Linked DNA regions of Arabidopsis thaliana. The protein of the gene in region 3 interacts with the protein of the main gene of each other region in a biochemical or structural test. Each region holds a gene or a part of one and is shown on either strand. Other genes may lie near its edges. The genes, in order: WRKY57, MYC2 and JAZ4.

What was found.
Region 1: the proteins of JAZ4 (region 3) and WRKY57 form a complex in vitro, tested with the Arabidopsis thaliana proteins (one study listed by BioGRID).
Region 2: the proteins of JAZ4 (region 3) and MYC2 form a complex in vitro, tested with the Arabidopsis thaliana proteins (one study listed by BioGRID).

The regions. Positions count from the first base shown.
Region 1 is NC_003070.9:26,053,723-26,060,143, forward strand, and holds WRKY57 (WRKY DNA-binding protein 57), read right to left. Parts: upstream 4,662-6,421; 5' UTR 4,188-4,661; coding exon 3,832-4,187; intron 2,991-3,831; coding exon 2,847-2,990; intron 2,760-2,846; coding exon 2,396-2,759; 3' UTR 2,395-2,395; exon of another isoform or gene 2,318-2,394; intron 1,207-2,317; 3' UTR 553-1,206; downstream 1-552. UniProt on the Arabidopsis thaliana protein: Transcription factor. Interacts specifically with the W box (5'-(T)TGAC[CT]-3'), a frequently occurring elicitor-responsive cis-acting element.
Region 2 is NC_003070.9:11,797,488-11,803,327, forward strand, and holds MYC2 (Basic helix-loop-helix (bHLH) DNA-binding family protein), read right to left. Parts: upstream 3,921-5,840; 5' UTR 3,427-3,920; coding exon 1,555-3,426; 3' UTR 857-1,554; downstream 1-856. Other genes in the region: AT1G32630 (FAM50A-like protein), read left to right, coding at 455-856.
Region 3 is NC_003070.9:17,929,572-17,935,185, reverse strand, and holds JAZ4 (jasmonate-zim-domain protein 4), read right to left. Parts: upstream 3,797-5,614; 5' UTR 3,529-3,796; coding exon 3,453-3,528; intron 2,587-3,452; exon of another isoform or gene 2,207-2,586; coding exon 2,034-2,206; intron 1,913-2,033; coding exon 1,749-1,912; intron 1,655-1,748; coding exon 1,570-1,654; intron 1,368-1,569; coding exon 1,100-1,367; intron 999-1,099; coding exon 938-998; coding exon of another isoform or gene 931-937; exon of another isoform or gene 859-930; coding exon 753-858; 3' UTR 524-752; downstream 1-523. Other genes in the region: AT1G48510 (Surfeit locus 1 cytochrome c oxidase biogenesis protein), read right to left, coding at 1-67, 153-297. UniProt on the Arabidopsis thaliana protein: Repressor of jasmonate responses. Interacts with and suppresses RHD6 and RSL1 transcription factor activities to negatively regulate jasmonate-stimulated root hair development.

The DNA.
Region 1 (6,421 bases), 8.1 Mb from region 3:
AAACCGGAATTTTATATTTTAATGTGAACATAATTGTGCGTTTTGCAAATACTTTTAAGTGGAGTTTTGGCTGATTAAGAACAATTAATGTCGACAATTAGCATGTTGACATATATTTAGTTCACAAGTCGACATTTATTTTCTTGATTTAAAATGTGAACTTAATTTACCAAAACGGAACGGTTTTTACACATTTGCTTGGCGTAGCTAGAAGTTGATATGTACGTCACTTCAATACATTCATTAACTTTGAACGGTTCATTGAAAAGCAAGACTTTGAATGTCTTTGGAAAGATTTAATTTGTTCGGATCAAAACATTTTTTTTTAGCATAAATAGGATTGTAATTTTTAAAATATGTAAACTGAGTAATTCTGATCATTAGACTGGTTTGTCTTCTGATTTAATGATCGTTTACGTCTCTTTTATATTTTGGCCTTTTGGGAGACAACGAGGCACCGCAATGGTTATCGTTTTCATCACGTAAACGAAATTCCGTTCCAAACCAAAAAACGATGATAAAACCATAATATATAGTCTAGATCAAAATGGGTAAAAGTCAAACATGATTGATGATTACCACAAATTTCGTCTTTTTTACCAACGTACAAAACATGTTAGTTACATGAATAGATTATCACCACATTCACAATGGCATGTCATATAAGTCGATGCTGTTCGGATTATCCATGCCTTGACCACGTTATAAGATATTTTCACCAAAGCAATTGATAATCTCTTTTTATAAATTACGCATCGCGAATTCTGTTCTCCAATATGAATTGGGGATATTCTTGCAATCTGTAAAGTTCATATAGATATATATCGCCCTAAAGTTATAAAGATAAAAGTATAAAATAATTGTAAAATTGATGAAAAGAATAATAAAAAATAACGTTATTTCCTCCATGTTCTTTTTCTTAAGTGCACATACATGCATCAAATGTGGGATGGATCCACGATTAAGATTAATGTTGTGTTACATCAAAATTATACCTGGATATATAACTACATATATAACAAGAAATATACATGAAGAAATTGCAAACGTACCGGTGGTGTGCTATTGATCAACAATGAGGTAATATATAGATCCATTGTTACAACGCCATATTGTTATACCCTCCCTGCGCATATTCTGGTCTGCAATATCTTCTATATATAATGAGTTAGCACCTCCTTAGCTATTGCTACGTACCAAGCTTACCTGGGAGATTAAATCAAACAAGGCAGATATGTATATATGTTACATTTCATCTTTGGAAATAGCATATGTTAATGTCAATGGTGTATAATTTGGTAAAGTTGATCTTATAAGAAATGTTTACAAATCAAACTATATATACGTAATTTAATAAATAAAAAATATATGTACACGAATTTACGTATTAAAGGTTTCAATTGTGGAGCTAGCTAAGATGCTCATACGTCTCTTCTACCTCATTTTCTTCCTTTTTCCTTTATTGGCTGTCTTTGGCTAAAACAGAAAGCATTTATTCCTATGACCTAACACATTACCCTCAGAACTTATCCTACATGCTTCGCGTAGTACTTCTTGTAAATATGCTTGTACATATACTGATATACATACACATAGACATAAGAATGATGCACCATGCAGGACACAGAATCACGCATATATACATGCAATTGTGAACACACACAAAAGGTTATAAATGTAAATGGAAAAGCCATTATCGTGACACTGAGTGGAGTAGTTGAGCTTCGATTTAAATATTTGTTGACATTTCTATAAACCCGCCGACCCATTTTGGGCTCGTCTCTATCAGACACAAGTAAGCCTATATATGCCTTATAGCAAGAGGGGTGAGACAAAAGGCACTATTATACCAGTGCTTGATCCTTATACAATCACTCGTAAATATATACATATATATATATATATATATATATCTGTGTGTGTATTTAAATATATATAGAGAGAGGCAATCATCCACTTATTATATATGCATGCATCATCCAACTTTATAATATGTTCTGCAAAAATGAATACTAGAGAAAGAAAAAGCACTGGCCGACATATCTATCGAGTGATCTAAATTGTTCCACAAGAGAGATAATGGTTCGCATCAATGATTAGACCAACACGATATTTGATCCTAATATTCATAAGTACATCTACATCAGTTAGACTTTGTTTCTGTCAAAGCATGGGAATTTTATCCCACCTAAGACATCCCTTGATGTGGATTTTCAGCTTCGGCCTAAAACGAAAAACCGTTTATCCCTTTGTGGTCCATTTAAAGTTTTTAAACCCTTGCATACCAAAGATATATATATTTGATCTCTTTATAGAGTTGATCACTCCTAAGACTATTAATGCACGAACATTAACAAATACAACAAAAAATATATATAACATGTAAGAAATTACCTCAAGGGTTGCGCATAGTTTGAGGTACAATATCACCAAGTAAGCCTTCCTCTGATGGAGTAGACACGGCAGGTGTATCTTCAGTAGTAGGTCGGGGTAACCGCGGTGAAGGAGCATTATTGTCTCTGTGAAGTTGATGAAGGAGTTCTTGGTAATAATAAGGATTTGGTAATGGAGGAGGGAGATGATGATGAGAAGTGAAGCTATGTGGGTCGTGTGCAGTGAGGATTCCACCACGAGGGAATCCAATGGTTTGATGGCAATGTTGTCCTTCGTATGTTGTGATCACTATCGATGGATCATCTGATGAACGTTCTACTCTCTTCTTCACCGTGCATCTGCTGTTTGTGCATCTATAGTAGCTCCTATATATCACAACAACAATAAGAAATATAGGTTGCATATCCGTTAACTAAGAGAATGATCAAAGAAACTGATGACTTATATACGACCTTGGGAATGGGCTATTCTTGACGGCTTTTTGTCCATATTTACGCCATCGATATCCATCTTCAAGATTATCCACATCACTCTTGGTCATGAATGCGAATCTTGGTTGCCGAATTCGCTTTTGAGCCTTCTTCTTCTCCTTCACTCTAGAAAACAAAGTATATAACCATGCATCAATATCACAGAGTAACCAATTAATCAAGCTATCAAATTCAAAAAAATATCACAAAACATGGACTCCAATCCTAATATTGCACAGTCAAAACAACCACGGAAAATAAAAAAGAGAGTTTAAAATAAAACGCAATTAACTTGAACATCTAACCAAAAAAAATTGTTACTTGACTTCAAATGCTTGCTATAACGTTTTCATTAAAATCATCCATTTTACATTGCTAGAACATTTTCATCCATCTTTTAAGTGAAAACCCTACATACGGAACATCTTATGAAACAACGATTGACGAGACAAGAATTGTTAAAAAAATCAGAGTCTTTTTTAATAACTTTGCTAGATAGATACTATGTAGATTAACATCATTAAAACGTGAGACGCTTTTTGACCTAACATTAGTATAATTAAAAAAGAAAAGGAAAGGACGAGGAGAAAAAGAAGATGTAGAGTGCACGCTAATATCACAGCCGCTATTGCGGCGGTGTTCCTCCCATTCCTCCATCATCATTATTATTTACTCCAACTGCCACCGACGATTCTTTACTTAATTACCAATTTCTCCTTCCCTCTCCAAAACTTCTAATGTACTACTGTACGGACGAACTCATCACTCTCTATCTTTCTTGCGATGCCAAAGAAATTACTCAAAAGAAAGAAAATAAATGAGAGAAAAAATGGGGCTTTTGGCTTTGGCCTCAAGATAAAACTAAAACCCTCCCCACCACCAACACTAAGATAATGAAGTAAATTACGATCGGACCCCTGCAAACAAAAACACACACGTGTTTCTCGTCTCAGTAAAAAAAACTCACGGTGTCTCCGGTGGTGGTGTTTTCTCGGCGGAGGCGGTTGAGTTCTCGGCCGGATCTTCACTTGAACTTGAGGTAGCTGAGGGATTATTATTAGTAGAGGTAACGGCAACGGAAACGGCGGCGGATGAGGAACAAGAAGAAGTGACGGTGGTAGGTTTGACTCCGGTGGTTTGTGTTAAATCGGAGTCGAATCTGAGACTGTGAGGATGATCGGAGGAGTGGTGGAGGTTCCAACCGAAGTCAGAGAGGATATTGGAAGTGTCTCGGTCGAAGAAGTCAGAATCTTGAGCTGTGAGTGTGAGTTCTCTCCAAGCAGAGTCGTCGTTGCTCAGATCGGGATTATCAGGATCGTTCATGATGATTGATCGGCGAGAGAAGTAGTGATAAGAGAAGATAGAGAAAGAGAGGTAGAGAGAGAAAAAGAGAGGAGCTAGGGTTTGTTCTTGATTGGAAGAGAAAGAAAGAAAGAAAGAAAGAAAAGAGAGTGAAAAAAAAACTTTGAAACCCGTTAAAGTGCAGTGTCTCGTCAAGGACCGATCTCAGACTCTCTCTCTCTTTGTCTATACGAGAGATTCTTTTAATTTATTTAATTTTTGGAAATTGCGTAAACACAAAATATATTAATAATAATTCAAGAGAGAGAGGGAAAAAAAAGAAGAGAAAGTTGAAAAAATGGAACGTCAACGTCAAAAGGGTCAAGTGAAACGGAACGGGAGGCTGCTAGTAGCGGAGAAAGTGAGAGGCCCACGTCTACTTTTTGAGTCCTATAGATCGACGCCTATTTTTAGACTCGGATTTGCATTTACTCTTCAATTAACATAGATGATGAGACTTCTTTCACTATTGAAATTGGTACCACTAATCCAATTGTCCAAAGAAGGACGATTAGCAAGATTTGTTCGTTTTATAGTTGTTGGTTCATCGAGACTTTTGTTTTTATGTATCTACTACTATTAGTCGATGTTACTGTTGCAACTATGAAACAAACCTAATTGAGTTATTGGTCATTGTTGATGTCGTGACTCGTGAGCGATTACGAAACAAACATACTATCAGAACCCTAGTTCGATCTGGTATAATTTTTGTTGTATGAGTCCATGGGATTCCTTTTTGTGGAAGAAAAGAAGCTTCAACTTAAAAATACCACCTACTTGTTTGTGGTTCGGATGACTGATGATGCGAGGATAAAAAAGCATAATTTTTTTTTTTTTTTTTTATGAAATGAGGTATAATTGAAAATGAATAAAGTATATTTAAATTTTGATTGAAAATTAGTTAGAAAGTAAATAATTGGTTTCTGCGTGTTGTCCGTGTTGGATATGACAAGAATCTAGCGAATGTAAACCACAAACAATTAACCGGCCACGTGGAAATTCTTAATCCTCATAAGTCATATATGATAATTATCTTATAATCATATTCACATGTTATTCCTTATTTATATTCCCATAATTGCAATCCATCAAACAAACGTTTCCGGTCGCACTCAGACTCAAACAACCATATCTTCGAGATTCATGTAAACGTTCCCTGTGGAAAAACTAAACAACATCGTCTTTTAAATAAAAAAGTGTCTATAAAATCAGCAGATGAATCGATTTTTGTTTAAATACATGCACGGATTAAAACGAGACACATGTCTACGTGATGTCTAACCATTATTAGAATATTGTTGAAATCATGTAACATATGTACCACACGCTACTACGCTAACAACGTATATATAGAATCATAGATACAGCTGTAATACAAGTTGTGTTTTAAAATTATGATTATAGAAAAACAGTTAACTTTGTCCATATACACTTTTGTGAAGATATGTGGATATGAATAATTTAGGTTCACATGTGTTTTTTAATCAAAGAATTAAGTATCAATACACATCTAAATAGCAACATTATTCTTTACCATTTTTGGGTTTGGTCTATCGATCTCGGTGCTATTATAACGCTAGCATCTACGTCGAGAATCGTTTGTGCGTACACGCAAGAGGGACACCTACTTGTATTTGCACAATCCATCTATATCCTCGTAGGCCCTTTGATTCGATATACATATCCTCGATAAATTATAAATAGTGGATTATGAATAGGAAGTATCAATAATGGTCCTCTCTAAAAAAAAAAAGGTATCAATAATGGGAGCAAATCATGTTAGAAATCAAATCAACATAAATATTGATTTGTAAATTTATTATATGATATAAACCGTTAACTTGATTACTAATTAAATGGAGTAAGTTTTTTAGTTTAGCTATAAAAAGACTGACCTATGTTTTTTATATATCATTTAAATTTGTTCTCAGTTCTAATGTGATATATGTAAAAAGGAAAATAAAATGATTCAACAAAACCGGTACAACGCATAGAAAATATGGTATTGTCATCTATTTACATATCACTGTTTCTTACCAAAAACAGACCATTATTTGTTTTTGTACCACTATTTCTCACTACTATATCTCTTACCGATTAATAGTATAGATGCAATCTCTTATTGTTAAACATTTTTTTTACCGATTAATTTCCATTGATTTATACTTCATAATCTTATATGCTCAGTTTTTTTTTTTATCATTTCTGATTTATAA
Region 2 (5,840 bases), 6.1 Mb from region 3:
TTTCTTTGTTCACTGAAGCTTCAAAGGTATGACCTTTATTGATTTTGTTTTTTTTGGATTTCTCTTCTCGTAAATCAATCACTGAGATTGGTAATATATGGGTTTTAGCCTCTTAACCTAATCATCGAATTAATCATTCAGGTTCTTTGAGTATCGAACTTCTCTGTTTTCTCAACTTGAAAGCAAAGCAAAATAACATTTTTAGTTGTATCGATTAGCTAATTTTGATTCTTTGGAAGTCTTACATTTCTGGTTGATTGCTATTAACGAATCTCTAATTTGGTCCTCCTCTAGTTGCAAAATTACATTTGTGTGTGTTTTGTGTCTTCAGCTTTTGAATTAAGAAGCTTCTAGGGTTTTATAGAGCTTTAGATTCTTTCCTTTAAATGCATTACCTTATAATAGAATTTGGTTTGTTTTATCAGTGTTTTGAGTAATTGGAATTGAAGGAAAGATGAGCAATGGTGGTTTGAGCATTGATGAGAAAGAAGGGTTGATAGACAAAGATGAAGTCATGATCCGTCGAATGAAGAACAGAGAAAGACAACGTAGGTATCGAGCCAGGAAACGGATGCGGGAAGAAGAAGCGGGTAACGATGATAATCTTTCGTTTGAGACAATGGGAAAACAAGAAGAAGAAGAAGAAGAAGACGAGGGACTAGAGTTTAATGGACCTAGTGGTTATGTTGAGAACTTTGTGCGGCGGGTTTATTGCGATAGAAATTGGAAAAAAGAAGCTAGAAGAGCTCATTTGATTATGAACAAGGCTCAAGATAGTTCTTGTGAGTCGGTTAAACGGAAGATAAGGCCGCATCGTCGAGATTGGAAAGCTGAAGCTAGAAAGAAGAAAACTTGATTCTTGAGGATTGGTCAGGTTGCTAGAGGATCTTGCGAGGTGATCGAGGAAGAGAATGCACAAACAAAGCAGATTTCAGATTCAATAATCTCTTCAAGATTTCTATTTTTGTAGATATTGGAAATGATCAAGACAAAAGCAAGTGATTTGCTTTTTCTTGTCTGTGACTCTGTCTGTGTATTCGAAGATCCATGTAGTATTATACTAAGGTTTATGTGTGTTGTGTCTTATTGATTAGACAAGAGGAAACATTATCACACTGACTTAAGAAAACTGTGCATATGGTCTCCCTCTCGACTTAACTTACTTAAGATTTGTCTCTCTTCCTAAGTTTGATGTGTTAGGAGAGACATTTTTGACCATATGTACAAAATCAGTGATCATGACCATTAGTCTCTTATTTTAGACCATTTATACTCGATTTCTTTTTCTTTTTTATCATATGAAATTGTGTAGAAATATTAACTTTTTCAGTAACTAACTCATATTACTCATATCAATATATACAAGTTTACTCATTGAGGAGATACAACAATAAAACGATACAGACTCAAACATAGAGCAAAAGAAGAAACTTGTCGCTCTATTTTAAGATTTTTTTCTTACAAAACTAAAATCTACAAAATTACTGAAGCCACTAAAACGAATTAATTATGATTTGACCCCATAACTTTCTAAACTTCCCAAAACACACCCTTTTAACCGATTTTTGAAATCAAACTTGCTCTGAGCTGTTCTTGCGTATAGATCCTAAAACCCATCTTCACCGTCGCTTGTTGAATCATCAAATCGTTAACCACCGACATACTCGCGTGATTCACTTCCAACTCCAAATCCATCAACGCCGACATCAACCTCGCCGCCGGATGATTCCTCTTACTAGATTCAACTCTAATCATTGCGTCCCAACCAATTATCTTCACTTCAATCTCCATCCCCACCGGTTTAATCGAAGAACACGAAGACGACATATCTCCTCCACTAGCACTCGCTTTTCTTCCGGCGAGCTCGAGTTTCACTTCCTCGAGCTGGTTCTTGATTTGGAGTTTCTCTGACTCTGTTTTGACTACTTTGGATTTAAGCTCGTTGATGTAAGCGATTGCGTCACCGAGTAACGAAGCTTTATCCATTTTTGAAACGTTTGGTACAACCGCTCGTAACGCGTAGAATCTTTGGTTTAGTTTCTCGCGTCTTTGTCTCTCTGCTTCGACGTGGTTTAGTGGCTCTTCTCTACCGTTTGCTGGCTTTCTTCCTCGTTTCTTTGGACGTTTCTCTACTGCTACTTCTTTCACGACGGAAGCTTCTAGATCGGAGTGATCTGATTCTCCGGCGGTTTTATCTCCGAATGATAGAACTTTATCTTCGTTCAAAACCATCGACCTCTTTCTTTTGTTTTCGAATTGTGTTTGACCCGAATAAGAACTTGGATCCGGGTTTCCGGAGCTTCGTTTACCTTCATCGCCGAAGTTTAATATCTCGCCGGATCTTGGTTTCACTAAAGTAGAACTTGACGTCGAAAAATTAAGTTCTCGGGAGAAAGTGTTATTGAATTTCGGATTCTGGGTCTGAGAATGAACCGGACTCGGAGTCGGATCCAGATTCGGGTTTTCGGTTATTGTGCTTGAGCTACCGTTCTCAAACTGAATAGACTTTGAAAAAAGCTGGGAGCTAGAACTTGGAGCTCCGTTACCCGGTTCGTTAGATCCAGGTGTTCCAATCGGGTCATTAATCCACATAGACGGGTCGTTCTCACCTTGATCCGGGTCAAGATTCCAATTAAGACCCGATAAATCTCCAGCTCCGCCGTCGAAATTGAAAAGAATTCGAACCTTGTTAATAAGGTCCGAACTCTGTCGGATCGGCTCCGTTGACCCGACTTCCACAACTCCGTTCGCCGAAGGAATACACGCAATAGTATGCATCCCAAACACTCCTCCTTGCTTAGCCCGTTCACAACCCGACCCGGATAATTGATCTGACCCGGAAACCCAAACCGCGTTACCCGTTGCAAACGCTTTACCAGCTAATCCCGCACCGCAAGCGAAGCTCTGCGTCATCGAAACCAAGAAAAACCATTCCGTATCCGTCACCTCCTCATCAACAGCGTCATCCGACGGAGCAACACCACCGGAGATCAACGAGTTAAGCTCTCTCAACACTTTTTTCCTGTACTCCTGATCCGCCGGAGTAGAAAACGGCGGCGAACTCGATCTCCGTCTCGGGTTTGCTTTATCTTCTTCACCTTTGTAATAACCATCTCCCCATCCGAGCACGGAGGCGCCGGAGAAATCATACGACGGTTGCCAGAATATAGCGTAGGTCCAACCTTCGTGTGTTCCTTCAATCAAAGCTTGTAAACGTTGCTGAAGAGTCTCTTGATTAAATCCCGCCTGTGCCGGAATCTCCATCGCCGGCGTCGGAGTTGTTTCAGTCGTCGCCGTCGTGGTTGTCGTCGACGCCGGAGGCCATAAAGTTGAGATATCGGAAGAGCTCATGAAAGCTTCCATCATAGAAGCGTTGTCGTCGGTGGTCCAAAGATTCATCGTTGGTTGTAGCCGGTAATCAGTCATTCCATAAACCGGTGACCGGTAAAAAAAAACACGTTTTTAATGAGAGAGAGAGAGATAGGAGAAAGTCTTCGTAGTGGAGAAAAATGGAGAGCGTCTGCGATTATTATATGTGTAACTGATCTTGAGGGTGAATGTGTAAATTTGTTGTTAGGGATATTACGTGGCGAGATTTCATTGGGAAACGTGGATGGTTGTAAGAGAGAGAGAAGCTTCGATGAACTCACATCCCGATTTAACCCCATCGACTGTTGGATCGACGCGGTAAGAATTAAGACCGGAAGTGAGTGAGATCGTACGGCTGTTTGGTCGCACGTGTATCACACGCTCTTTAATGATTGACTTAGATTTTAACTGATTGTTTCTTTTGTACCAAAGAGTGAACTGTGAGCTCAGTGGAAAAACACTTTACTATAACTTTTCACCTATTTTTTCGATTTATATTTGTCGTTTTGTCAACTTTTAGAATATATTTTTTATAACAGATTAATTACTTATTTTATAATGTTATTTTAAAATATTAAAAATCAAAATTTAAGATTTGTAATCTCAATTATCAAATACTGTGTCTTAGCTTAATTAATTTTGAGATTTGCATATCTATATAACGTGAGTCGTTGCTAATAATTCACTAAAGCAAAAATTTGTGTTTGTCTTAATATGTTAAATTGCAAGAGAGTGAAATGCAAGTGAGAATCTCTATCTCCAAAAACGATTCTTGTCTGCTTAACTAATTAATTTGTTGACGACTAAATAAACTAATAATTTATTAATTTGACCAAACGCTATTATTAGCATATGCTTTAAGAAAGGAAGAACTCCTTTATAATATTTTTAGTTACATTCACATTTCACGATAAACACATGCTAACAACGTTATATTGTTTGTTTAATTTACAATATTAAAATTTTATTTTTAAAGTTCGAACAATAATTCAAGGATTAGGTCATTAGGTGAGTATGAGTGAATAACATAAATCATTTGGCATCTTTTCCTCCATGCATAAATTTATCACAATAATTTAGCATGCCACCAATATGGTCCCATTACTCCTAACCCTTACCTAAAAACCAAAAATAAAACAAAAAGAATTAAGATAAAATAGTATATATATATATATATATATATACTTCTAAAATTCTATCTTGCGAAGACAAATTCTTACTAACAAAACACTAAACTTATGTTATTGTGTTCTTGTAGATTTACGTTGTCTTGTGATAAACTCAATGATATGTCTTTATACGTTCAGATTAATGATACTCCGGTTGATTTTTCTTATTAAAACCATATTAAACTAAAGAGTATTTTACCAACAATAAATAGTAAAATAATTTTGGGATCTAGTATACCATTTTTTGTAAATAACAACCAAAATAACTTTTGAATATAATTTTCTGAGACATCTGTATTGGGTGAACTCGTCAATGAACGATTCAACAAACAGAAAACAACCAAACCATTGTCTGGTGGTTGTGAGTCGACTTTTGAACATGTTTACTATAAGAAAATTATGAGAAGATGTTACACTAAGTTTTGGCTAGGTGATTCGTGATATCATATTTCATGTCGACTTTGGGGGTGACGCCACTAGAAAACAACAATATCCCACTAAGTAATGAATAATTAGTGGGATAAATATAGAGATTTCCCCCCTTACTTCGAGAAATGAGATAACAAAGATGACAGTTTTCTTGTTATGTTGTTATGTTGAGCTTAGAATGGGGATGATGGAGTGTTCTGACTTCTTAGAGAAAATGGTTGAAATTTTTTAAGTAGAGAGTCGGGTTGATTAAATGAAGATCTTACTATCACCTTGTTGAAAGAGAGGGACATTAGTCGGGATTCGGGAACAATGTGGAACGTAAGATATAAATTTCCCATATGTTATTTCCTAACTGCATGAAATAAAAATATATCTGTTACCTGATCCAAATTTGTATGTGACCAATTCGAGTTATTCTTAGATTTAGAGAAATAGAGAATCATCAATTGGTGTACACTTTCGATAGATCGTCGAACATGATATAATGATCTTGATTGATTTGGCATGCTCGAATAGCTTATACAATGTGTTACATATGTTAGGTTAATAAGTGACTAGGATGACCTTGTAGAAGCGCCTCAATCTATGTATCTTTTGTTGATTGAGTTCCTAAGTAGCAATAATTTATTCATAATTATAATAACATATGTTCATATATATACATATGTATATAAATTTACATACAATTTTGGATTCGCTTACTTTTTAGGAAGGGTCTTTTCAATGATTTTGAAACATGCAGACACAAATACACGATCATATAGACTTGAAATTTTTCTACATGTGAATGTGTAATAATATATTTTTCCTGATATTAGTTGTATTTTCTTTCTTTTTTCCTTTTAAAAAATGAATCTGGAAATTAATTAC
Region 3 (5,614 bases):
GTCTCACCGAGACCATAAGTAGTGAATCCAACTAAGTACCATAACAACGCTGACCCTCTTTTCTTCTCTGCAAAACATTTTTACACAAAGATTCAGAACCAAGATTCAGAACTTAATCACAAATTAGACGAGAGAGAGCATGTGCAAGATACTTGCGGGTGGTGGAGCTGAAGAAAGCAATTGGCTCTCAAGATTGGAAGTTTGTGAAGCAGCAGGGAGATTGCTAGTAGTAGAAGAAGACATGTACTGACTTTGAGAAATCAACCTCTTAAATATCTTGGAAACGAGTTTTGTCATCTTTTTCTCCTCCAGGATCTTCTCTTTGTCTCATCCAAGATTCTTGATCTACTATATATGGCGACGACGACGAGGACTGATTAAGTATATAAACTAATGTTTTATTTTCTGATATAGCACATGGCACCAACTAATTAAATGACTTTCATCTGCTGGTGGAAATATTTTATATCAATTATCGAAAAAAAAGTATAAACATAAAGTTGACTTCAACAAAATCTAGAAGAGCTTGAATAGTCTTACTTTTATGTTTTTTATACACATGCAAGAGTAAAGACAAAACATACAGTATCCAAATTAAATTTATAGGATATATATAAATAACTTGCTTTTACAAGCCCAGTGTACTAAAATCTGAATAAACAAAAGCTATAACAACTATACTATAGTCTATAGGATACAGAGCCAGAGAAAAAAGAAAAAGCCTTTAGAACAATGAGGGGTCTAAATTGGTTTTAGTGCAGATGATGAGCTGGAGGACAGCTTACACATTCAGACATCAGTGTTCTACAGTCTATTGATGACTTGTTGTCTACGTAATAAGGTGATACGTTAATGACCCTGCAAGAAAACGAAGCCAATATACAGCAAACCTGTGTTTTGATATTGTGAATAAGTGAATAATCTTGTAGCTCAGTACCTTTCTTTGCGTTTCTCTAAGAACCGAGCCAAGGATGCTTTGCGTGTTTGTGGTAAACCCACTGTATTAAATCATAGCAAGATTTTTTGGTTATAACAAACTAAACCTAAGATAGAAGTTTGATGACAAAACATTAATAGGAGTTAAGACTTCATTTATAACCTGTTGGAGCCATAGAGAAGGCAGCAGTTTGGTTGTTGCGCGTGGATGCTAAACTCGCCTTTGTTTTTGTTGGTCCAAGTCCAGTAACCCCGTTGGATCCACTACTTCTGGTTTCAGAGACAATGTAAGAGATGGAAGGCAGGAAACTAGGAGGCATAGTTGGAGGATCAGTGGTTGGAAGAGAGTGATGAACCAGTTTTTGAGGTTTAGGTTGTGAAACCGGTTTAGCATGAGGTCCATTTCCGGCTAGCAACATGATAGCTTGGGCCTATGAATACAAAATAAATGAAGAAGTAAGGACAAAGATTTATCATATCTATGAATCATTAACATACTGTATGTTGAAACCAGGTTAGTAACTTTCTATAACTTCAGCATGTCTATACGTGAAACTTATTTCTTTGATTGAATACTTAGTCAGTGGATAGCTTGGACTGTAATGTAACACATATTGAAGGAAATTTGGTTACCTTTTCAGGAGCTATGTCTTGGTAAACTAATACTGAACCGGCATAAAAGATTGTCAACTGAGGGGGAAGTGGTTTTGAAGAAGATCTGGAGATGAACATAAAGGAGCTCGAGTCAACTATAGAAGTAAAGAGGTTCTGTATCTGATGTTAAACAGAAGAAGATAGAATGCAGTGCATGCCTAATAGTGGTTGGAGCAGGAAATACTGAAACTGGAGGTGCCATGATAGGAGATCCTCCTAAATGTTGGTGGTTTATGAAACTGTTGATGTAGTTTGGTTCGGACATGGAGACTGTGATGGTTGTTTGGTCTTGCTGACTGGAACCTGGGAACACTCTGTCTTCCTGAGATCATTTTGTATCAATTTTGAGACCAGAAGAAACTAAACCAATTGCCAAGCTTTCTTACAAGGTCACTAAATCACACTTTATCACTACTTTTTTTCTTTTCAAGAAATAGCCTAACCTGTAGTGAGCTGAAGTAAGTTCTCTGGTTTTGATCCATTGCAGCAGAAGAAAGCAAATGATCATTGACTGTGTTTACACGCGTTTCTTGTTGGGATGTCCCAAAAGAAAGAAACTGAGGACCAGAACCGACTTTGCTTGAGAATGACCAATCCATCATACCTCTACTTGGGGCTGAAACATGAGCAAATGTCTTTAGATTTTATCAAACTAGGAAACACTCAGATCTAGCTATGCTAAAGTGGACGACTCTTAACATTAGATTCATCAACAATGAACAAATCTGCATAAAGCCAAACACACTGGGGAAAATAGTGATCATACAAATACTTTCAAGAAATGGCACGTTTCGGAATATAAAAAGACAAGAACTAACTATTAAATTCCTCGTGGGTAAGTAAATTATTCATCCAAATTGTAACTTGATCTAAATTTAATACCCAACATGATCCTAACTTAATCAATGAGTCTACTTGGATAGAAATAAAACTTAATCAAGTCACAATCAATCTTGCTTTTATATAATTCAACTTGCATTTGTTGTTAAATCTCTAATCGTCAGCCGGTCGCTATATAACGCATTCTTTTCCCAACATTTCACGTCTTCGTTTTTAAATAATACTGATAGAATTCAAGTTGCTTAATAAACCTTAAAAAATGGCATAAACTTTTCAAAAAGAATAACCAGCCAATGTTCTAATTCTCAATATTCAATCCGGCTTTGAAAAAAACAATCTTTTCTAAAGAAGATACTATTGTATTGAAACCAATTGATCAATTTTGTAAGCAACAAAAAAAATATAGCATTTTTGTTCTGTCGGTGTCGGCTGTTTGAAGAAAAAAACGAAATTATTTTGAAAACACTCAACATTACCAACAGCTTTAGAAACATGCATCACCTAGTCACCTAGAAAATCAAGTTTGTTCTCTGAATATTATTTTTCAAAGATAATACTAACACTTGTTAAATTACTAACGTCAACAAGTTTGGTGTTTGCTTGTATAGTTGTATACTTGTACATTTGTAGTTTGCAAAAAATATTTAATGAAAAAAACTTCAAAAGTAGATCGTGAACGTATGAATTTTCTAACTATCGAGTCCCAAAACGTGTTTTTTCATCGGCTACGTCAAACAAATTCGAGTAGCTAAATTTCTGTCTATAGTACTAAAACCTAATTTCTTAAATATATATCAAGAAAAAAGAAACCCTAATTTATTTTTTCTCTTCCCGAGAAAACGAAGAAAAAATTTCTTGTTCAAGAAAAAACCAGACAGTAGGACTCCCAATCAAGCTAGAAAAACAATATATATGTACTTGAACAATAAACAAAAAAAGAGATTACAAAAATAGAAACAAAAAAAAGTGAGATGAAAAACACAATCATCAGATCATAATGGAAGATGTTGAAGATGAATTACCTGAATCTTCGTTAGTTTCCTCCTTCACAGTTATCGGAGATAACTTTGATCCCAGCCCGAGAAAATCTCTCTCCATCAGGCTTATCAATCGTTGAGAATACAAAAACGGTTTAGCTTTCGCGGGGGAGAAAAAAAATGTCACCGGAGAAGAGAAGAAATGAGAGATCAGAGAGAATTAGTAACAATTGAAGGACTTTGGAGAGAAATGAAAAACGTGAGTTGAAGTTACACACACCGCCGATTTATGATTCCTCTAATGATGTATACATATATTTTTTTAATATAAATCATCCGATGCGGTATGTGTATATCCCACGTCTGCTTTCCTGTTCCGGAATAAACTTCCAATATTAGAAATTCAATCATCGGATATAAATATATATATTTATTTTTATTTTGAACAACTTGGATATAAATATATAAATATATAAATATGTCGTTAATATCAAACTTAAAATAATGTTTTACATTATTTATTTTTATATTTAAAGCTGATAAGCATTATAATAAGAACCCTTATTCTCAAGTTAAAAGAGAGCAATTATTTGTAGTGCATTGAGTCATTGACTCATTCATTCTACACAACAAAACATGGTAATAATGTGGTTGAGAAGAGCTTTCACCGTCGTCTCGATCCCTCTTCATACAAAGTTTGAATTCTTGCTTTGGGTCATGCAGTGCCTCATTATTGATTTATCTTTGATTAATGTTTTTTTTAGATAAGAATTAACCTATAGATCGTAGCCATCCCGGATGAATGGCCTTCTTTTTTATAGAGATTGATGGTTTTTCTCGTTTAAAGTTTTTTTTGGTATGCTCATGTCCTTGTTAAAAAGGCTAGATTTCATTTGTTAAAATCTAGCATTTATGCTTCGTATTGGTTCTCCCATACGGAGAACTTCCTCTTTTACTGTTGTTAGATTTCGTTTGTTAATATATCAAAGTATTTTTGTTTTTGGATAAACCCTAAGAGTTCCTAAGAAAGAGGTTATTTTCGGAACTGTAAGAGTTAATAGTCATGAGGTTAAATTACAAGTACATGTACACTGCTGAGCTCCCATGTTCATACCAAGTTCGAGTGTATGGAGCTTACCCTTGGCATTATGAATTTATGAGCAAGCTGCAAAACTTGCCACATAGAACCAGAGCCAGACCAAAAAAATATAAGGCTCCATACGAATTATGGAAAAAACAATTCTTCTTGAGATTATATAAGTCATTACCATATAATATTTTTAAAATTAAAAATTAAAGTTTATAAATATATTCTAATAAGCTGATTTTATATAGGTTCCAGATTTTAAAAAGAAAAAACATAACAAAAAGAGAACGTTGAACACAAGTTTTAGCAAAGTTGTCGATAGAGGGACACAATGAGATATGGTTCCCATACGTTACTCCAAAGTATCCCTTTTTACTTGGTTGGTTGTGAAAAACAGAATTTGAGTAGAGAGACAATGAGAAAGTGGTATGTAATGTAGATTCGAGTTGCATTTTTTGCAATGAACAGGTAGAGAGACGAAGGAACACTTATTTTTCCACTGCGCCTACTCAAAAAAGATATGGGAAGACTTAACAAGGGGAATTCTCTCGGACAGATATTCGGCGAGTTGGACAGAGGTTATGAAAACTTTATCTAAAAACCTTCTATACAAAACGAAGAGCTACATACTTAGGTATGCACTACAGACAGAACTCTATACACTCAATTTGGAATGAACAAAATAGGAGGAGGCATCAGGCATGGGGAGCAATCATCACCGACGGAAATACTTGTGAAGATTATAGACAAGAATCTTAGAAACCGTTTGAGCACAATTCAAGGTAGTGGAGGATTGAAGTTCAAAGATGGCATCCAAGTTTGGTTTAAAACTTTGAATCAAGGCAATAGATAATAGACAATTAGAAGTTCCTTTTCTTTAAAAAAACTCTCAAAACAATTAGCATTTCATATGTAACAAGTTTATTTTTCTTTTTAATATAATTTAACATTAAATTCAAAAAGAAAAAGTTTTAACATATTTTTATTATAAAAATCTGAATTAATTTAGTAAGAAATAAATAAAAATACTTGTTATTCGAAAAATCTGAATTAGTTTAATTAGAAGTAAATAATTACAAAAATTATCTATTAGGTCCATATCAAATAATTTATATAGATA